Nothobranchius furzeri: one gene and its partner. The protein of the gene in region 1 interacts with the protein of each later gene in a pairwise test. Links are inferred from orthologs where the notes say so. Each region holds a gene or a part of one and is shown in the gene's direction. Other genes may lie near its edges.

What was found.
Region 2: the proteins of atf2 (region 1) and atf3 interact in binary tests that used the Homo sapiens proteins (3 or more experiments, as listed by UniProt). The link is inferred for Nothobranchius furzeri from reciprocal best matches to the Homo sapiens genes ATF2 and ATF3.

Annotation. Positions count from the first base shown.
Region 1 is NC_091754.1:21,204,625-21,208,276, reverse strand, and holds part of atf2 (cyclic AMP-dependent transcription factor ATF-2), read left to right. Parts: intron 1-1,328; coding exon 1,329-1,543; 3' UTR 1,544-3,652. UniProt on the Homo sapiens protein: Transcriptional activator which regulates the transcription of various genes, including those involved in anti-apoptosis, cell growth, and DNA damage response.
Region 2 is NC_091742.1:15,053,806-15,057,557, reverse strand, and holds atf3 (cyclic AMP-dependent transcription factor ATF-3), read left to right. Parts: upstream 1-1,350; 5' UTR 1,351-1,454; intron 1,455-2,135; 5' UTR 2,136-2,136; coding exon 2,137-2,382; intron 2,383-2,470; coding exon 2,471-2,578; intron 2,579-2,662; coding exon 2,663-2,962; 3' UTR 2,963-3,639; downstream 3,640-3,752.

The DNA of each region.
Region 1 (3,652 bases):
TAGGGCATGTTGTGATCTGTGGGGGAAACCGGAGTACCCGGAGGAAACCCACACATGCATGGGGAGAACACACAACTGCACGCAGAAAGACCGCAGCCGAGTTTTGAACCTGCAACCTTCTTGCTGCGAGGCAACAGTGCTAACCACTGCGCCACCATGCAGCCCACCACAATCTAAAATCATTTAGTCCTCAACAACTGCAGAAATGACCCCAAAAGCACAAGGATCCCCTGGTTTGGTGCCACTTTAAATATCAGTGTAATTAGTAAAGCACTATTTGACTCTGATCATTCATGTACAGACTTCATAAAAGTCTCTCAGAGTTACAACTCCCGTACGGCCACTCTGCCCTCCGGACTCCGTAATCCCCCTGCCCAGGCGCAGGAACTGGCTGGTGGAAGGAAATAGCCCAGACTGCCCCACCAACAAGCCAGGACACAGTTTCACTTGGCACCACGAGCCGTCCATCTGTTTACAGCGAGCCTCTGCTTCAGAAAGCGAGAGAGCGGAAAGAAGCTCTGCCCACCCGGGGAAGCAGGAATTTCAGAGTATTATGATAAATCAGCTGGCCGCCACTTGGTGTTGTTAGGAGCAATGATGCTCGCTTGAACATGAAACAAAACCACTAAGCTAATTTAGATTTTGACCTGAAACAGAAGTCAACGTGTGCTTTATCGTTTTTCTTAACACCCTTTTAGGAAGACTTCTCTACAGCCGTTCAGACGTTGCTCCCTTTCGATGGAATTTGTATTTTAGATTCTCAAAGACCTGCTCATTAATTACAGAGTGGAGTAACAAGCGACTTTATATCATTAGCAATATTAATTATCATCGTGCTCCTTATTCCTGTATGAAACGGAGCATGAGAGTGGAGTCTTTTTTTTCCCATCAGGATCCAATTAATTCAATGCAACTGCCTAACAGCTGGTGGCATTTCGACTCCAAGTCTTCCCTACTCTCCAGTGTGAGCATCATTAAAATCAGGTGCTGTAATCATCTGTCGCTGCAGTAGTTGGCAAGGTAACAAAAAACAAATGAGACTGCAGTTAGGGATGGGAAGCGCTGCCACATGCCCCAGAATGTAATGCCCCCTTATGATGTGGGTTTAAATTGACATTGGAGCGTTAATTAAAGGAAAGGGGTGCAGAAGTAGCATTATGGGGATTAATGAAATGGTTTGCATCCTCTACACGCTGATAGCTGTTTTACATGCAAATAGGCTTGTGTGACACGGCTACCCCATTGCCTTCTGGGTTTTATCTGCTGAAATAAAATGTAAGGAAGGATATTTAAGCCTCGCGGCCGGCTGTTGTTTGATGTTTTTACAGTCTCCGACAAAGATGAGAGCTGCGAGGAGATGTCCATCCCCAGCAGCCCCCAGAACGAGGCTATCCAGCACAGCTCCGTCAGCACCTCCAATGGGGTTAGCTCCTCCTCAGCTCCGGCCGTCTCCGCCCCAGCCAGTGCCGCTTCGGCTAACCCAAGCACAGAGGAGAGTCAGCCACGGAGGGGCGCTACCAAATCCCAGTCCTCAGGGAGCTGATCGTCCCAAACTGCATCCACGCTGGAGCGCGGCGGTCTCTTCAGACAAGCAGAGGAAATAGTTTCTCTCTCCGCTTCAGTTCAGATTGTACACTTTTTCATTCTCTCTTGATTGCTTTGTATTGCGTTTGGCCTGTTTAGTAATTCATAGGAATGCTTTTAAACATGCAACGTATTCTCTGTAACTGCTGAAAACAGAAGAACATGCACTTTAGGTGTTTTTGTATTTGTTGAACTTGTTTATTGATCTTCTTTATATTTATTGATTGGAAATCAGCCAAGTGAAGTGATTGAGCAGTCAGTTGTTACCAAAGTGTGGTGTTGCTCTTTTTTTAATGCTCTTGAACTTTACAAGCACTACCTTTATGATGAAGATACTTTAAAGCAGCAATCTGGAGTTTTCTCCCTTTCGAGGAATTATGTATAATTTTTTAGAAATTAGTAAAAGTGGTAGTGTTACCTGGTACTGTGATATAATTAGCAATACTTTTTTTTCTTTTCTTTTTTGGGCTCAGATTGCCTCCATCCCATAGAGCCCCGTGCAGTTTGAATTGAGCACTTCTCAGCATTAGCATTAGCCAGTAGTGTTAGACATCCCCTGGTGGTGATGAGCTACAATATAGCCACAGCTGTAATGGCTGACGGAAGCAAGGCTGCCAAACACAGGTGCCACTGGTCCCTAACAACCACCACCAGCAGGCAAGGTAACTTGTCTTGCTCAAGGACACAACCACTGTGACGGACTGAGTGGGACTCGTTCCCACAACCCTCCAGTTACGAGGCGGCCACGTAACTCCTCTACCACCGTCGTCCTAATTGTAAAACAATGTTTTAGCTACGTCTGTCGGCCAGAGGTGCACTTTCACACACGAGGGGCGTTGCTTCCAGCCATGATCACAGAAGCAGGGAAAAGGGCTCATAGGTGTAATACCGTTTTTCCACCTCTAGATGGTGCCCTCTGAGGAAAAACTCTGGATTTTTGCTTTAAGTAAATTTGCTTTGACCATTTTCCACATATCTGAGAGGAGATGGGTTTACTTTTTGGAGAGGTGGCGAGACACTGGCAGCTTTATTAAGAAGTTGGTCTAAATTCTGGACACAAAACCGGAGTTTTAATTTGACGAGTGTTTATGAAAACAAGATCAGCTGTCGTTGGGGAATGTTTGAGCTCGCCTCTGCATGTAAAATAGCGTCACACCGGTGAGCCGGCTGGATTTGCGTCTTTCATTAACACTCCACCTGTAGTCTGATTGTCCCTGAAGCAGTGATTGTAGGATCGCAGTACTTTTTTGTTTATTACTCCGTCATGGTGACGTTGACTTTACTCAGTGCCATTAACGTTTTTGTATAAATTACCTCTGTGCATTAAAAAAAATAAGAATAACCTGAGTTTATTGCTGTTCTCTCAGATTTCTTCTGTTTACTGTGTTTGCTTCATGCGTGTCTTCAGTATCCGATGCAGAACATTTAGGGACATTAGGTTGTTTTCATGATGGCAATTCTAGATGACATTTTTAGTAAACATTGTAAGAAAAACAAAGAACACATCAATATTGAACTTGCCTGTGGTCATTCTTGATATTATGTACTTTGTTATATAAGATTGTACACATTTAGTAGATGAACTCTCTTGATCACATCAAGTTTAAAGAAAATGACCTTTAATCTGATTAGAATGCATCAGTAGATTGTAAAATGAAAATATTCTCATGTGAACTGGAATCGCATCGTGTACTTTAGTTACACAAACTGATTGTGATTATTTGTTCATTAATTATGAGAAACAAAGCCCAGCTTTTAAAGTCAGTTTGCTTTTTCTCTTAGTCCCTACTGGCTTACTACTGTGTAGTTTTTACCAACACATTGTTTTCTGAAAATGGGATTTTTAAAGTTTTACTGTTGTGCTTTCTGCATGAGACAACGATTCTCTACGAGAATTTGACTTTGTTTAATGACGCCTCAAACTAAGAAAATAATGGTCAATTAAACAAGTTATTACGACTTGAGTTGTGATTTGTTTTACCCTGGCTTAAACTGCTTCAAAACCTGGGTGTGATATGGTGTTGACAGTGTTTATGTCATGTGAAAGTTCTGTATAAAATTTCAATCG
Region 2 (3,752 bases), on another chromosome or scaffold:
ATATAATGTTATATTATTATTATTATATTGTTATTACAATATAATAAACACAAGACAATTACTAAAATAATAAAACAATGTTGATCACATGACTGACGTCCAGTCCCTAGAGCAGCAGCCCTCTACAACTGGGCCGAGGCTCGGTACCGGTCCATTAAATATTTTTAAAAATTCCAGAAATATTAGTTTATATGCAGTTGTCCACAGGAGCTTTTATTTTGAAAATTAGCAGTATTAAGCCTCCAAATATCCCAGATTTTAATTCCGTTTAATTTTATTTTTCGTAGTTATTTTTGAGATCCTTATAAATCTTTTACAGGAAATGTTCTCTTAAAATAACCAAAATAAATGGTCTGTAAATAAGGTTAAGAGATCCAGAGATAAACATTTAGAAGTTTTTTCCAAATATAAACATATTTTGTACAATCAGACCAGATCTGTGAGGTTTTTCAGGAAGTGATCCGACTTAAATCCCTTTAATCCTGCCGGTAAAACAACGCAACCTGTGGTCTAACGGAGCAATTTTCCCTGTAAGGCAATGGGTTTCCATGTTATTTGCCTGCTGCTTAATGGTTTTATTAAAGGTTTCAATGAAAAAAGCATTTCAACCAGGATCAAACATTTAAAGTTTCAAAATAAAAGCACAAACAGCATCATGGCCATTATTCCCTGAATCATTTCGAACTTCACTGTTTTCAGGTGACCTCTGACCTTTGGAATCTCTCAACGGGCGACTAAACAGGATCAGATTAGTTAGAATTAAGCTACAAAAACACACACACACACACACACACACACACACACACACACACACACACACACAGCTGAGACACACAAAAAAACTTATCTATAAGCTGATCCTTCTTCCTCCCACCATTAGCTTCTCCAGGCCCTGATGGAGGTGTAACCTCAATAAATAAAACCCATCCGGTGTCATTCAGCCAGAGCGAATCACTTCACGTCCTAATGTGGAATGTTGGGATTGGGAAACTGTGTCTGTGTCAGATCAGTGAGAGCACTCGGGAAGACACGGCGCTCAGAACTTTTAATCATCTGTGATTTCTGCTGCTTTCTAGGAACTTACTCAGAGGAAGTGTGTGTGTGTGGGGGGGGGTGGGGGGTGGGGGGGGGGGTGTTTGGTCTAAAGGAAGGATGGAGAGATGAACTGAAGGAGAGGAAGAGGAGGAGGGGTTGTGTTGTAGCAGATCAGCCCGTGGTTGCCTGGTTGCATCATCACACAATCACATTTATAAATAGAATTACGTCATCCAGCTCAGAGCTGCTCCTCTTGGCTCCTCCCGCCACGTCACAGGCCCCGCCCCCAGCCCGGATCATAAAAGCCGGTGATGCAACCGATTCGGGTCAAACGCAACTCAGAGCAGCGGCGACGAGCGAGGCTCCTGCAGGCGTTCACTTCCTCAACCCGTCCGGACCGTCCGATCCAGAACCAACAGGTAGGCGGGGGGTTCCGGAGGGAGGGGGTGTTTCGGGGGAACGGGGATGTCCCGGTGAGGAGCGGAGCGCTTCCCGGTGGGCTGAATGAAACCATCAGGATTTGATTTATTTAAGAAATAAACGGAAGTTTTTATTGATTCAACTTATTAGATTTGAACTTTGACCGAACTTGTTTGAACTTTTAAAGTTGATTCAAACAGTTTATAGTAAACAAAACGCATAAAATGACTTTAAGATGTTATAATGCAGATTAACTGTAAACGTGAGCCGTTTTCTTATGAAGATGAAATAATTCCTTGATGTAATGGTTCAGATTTAAGTGTTGAGAAAAACACAAAAGAGTCGAACTTAATAAATAAATAGAGCTGCACGTGCAGCTTTCACGATGTTGCTCCTGCTGAGATTCAAACCTGATCATAAATCCTTCTGCTGTGTTTGGGTCAACGGTAACTCCTGCTTTATTCTATTAAGTTCAGGGCTCCTCTAGGTTAGATGTTTGGCTGTCAGCAGAGCTGTTCAGGAACAGCTGATCTTCTCATTAGTTGAGTTTGTTCCTGAGGAGTTACTCAGCCGAAAGAGAGCAGGAGCTGCTCCTTCAGCAGCTTTAGGAGCTTCTTGGATTATTTGATGTGAAACTTGTTGCATATTTGATTTAGTCATTGTTTTTTATTTTTAATTAGAATGATGCTGCAGCATCCTGGTCCTTCTCTGGCCGACATCAGCTGCTCTGCTCTGGTGCCCTGCCTGTCCCCACCGGGGACGCTCACCCTGGACGACTTCACTAATTTCACACCCATCGTGAAGGAGGAGCTGCGCCTGGCCATCCAGACCAAGCGTCTGTCCAACGGGCTGAGCGCCGACGTCAGCTCAGACGGCTCCAGCTCGGACCGGGCCTACGAGCGGCCCTCCGCCAGGCTCAAGAGAGAGGTGAGACGGAGCGAACTCTGAGGTTACCTGGTCTGTTTGTCAGACGGGGATCAGGAGAAGTAACGGCGTCTGTCTCTTTGGCTTTTAGTTGACTCATGACGAACACGAGAGGAGGAAGAGGAGGAGAGAAAGAAACAAGATTGCTGCAGCAAAGTGTCGCAACAAGAAGAAAGAGAAGACGGAAGGTCTGCAGAAGGTAAGAGACTTTTGTTCCCTTTCACTCTGAAACCCAGCTCATGAAGAACAACATTAACTCCTCCATTGTCCCTGTCCTCCTCAGGAGTCGGAGAAGCTGGAGAGTGTCAACGCGGATCTTAAAGCTCAGATCGAGGAGCTGAAGCAGCAGAAGCAGCAGCTGGTCTACATGCTGAACCTGCACCGGCCCACCTGCATCGTCCGGGCCCAGAACGGCCAAACGCCCGAAGACGAGAGGAAGCTTTTCATCCAGCACATCCAGGAGAGCACCTTACAGCTCCACAGCCTCACCTCCTCCTCCTCCACCTCCTCCTCGTTATCTACCGCCACAGTAGCACCTCTGGACGGAGGCGTCCTGACGCTTGACGACATCCAGTGTCTATGATGGTGATGCTGTGAGACTTTCTCCACCTGCGCCAAGAACGAGGAGACGTGGATCAGCTGCTGGAAGCAGCGTACAAAGCCACGTCTCCGTCCTTCACCTCCCAGCTGCTGGGACGTCCTGGACAGAGGACAGACGCCGACGCACTGAAACCAAACAAAAACCCAAACTTCACTGATGTTTTCAATAGTTAGTGGTTTGATTTTTGTCCCGGGGTGATTTTAAGGTGACTGATGCACACAAACCGTTCTGTGGAAAGAAGAGTAGCTGCAGGCCGGTTGAGTTTAACCTGCTGTAGAAAACCTATTTATTAAGGTAGGATGTGATGTTAGCGACCCTCTGAAGCTGCTGCTGCTAACCCCTCAGGACACAGACGTAGATGTTTAACTAACGGGAGTGTTTCTAGTAATAACGGGAATGATTCCGTGCTGCAGCCATGGCTGCAGCCTGTAAACATGACAGGATAATCGTATATGCAGATGATGAACTTCTGTTCTGTTCTCCTGCAGGACTGATTGTATTATTAATCCATCATTTTATATCTGTGTTGAAAAGAAGCTAAAGTGTTATTTCTACTTAATTCTGTTCCCTTTTTGAGCTTCTCAGACCAAAACCGCAATTATTAGTTAAATAAGCATATTTATTAAACATCACATTAAATGTCTCTGCTGAGTCTGTGATCCTGCGCCGTCTCATTTGTCCTTTTGGGGGTTTGGATGGGATTTGTTGTGTTTAGCAGGTTTCTGCTGATGAGGATGGTTTATGTTGTCTGTAGTTTGTGATTTTAGCCAAA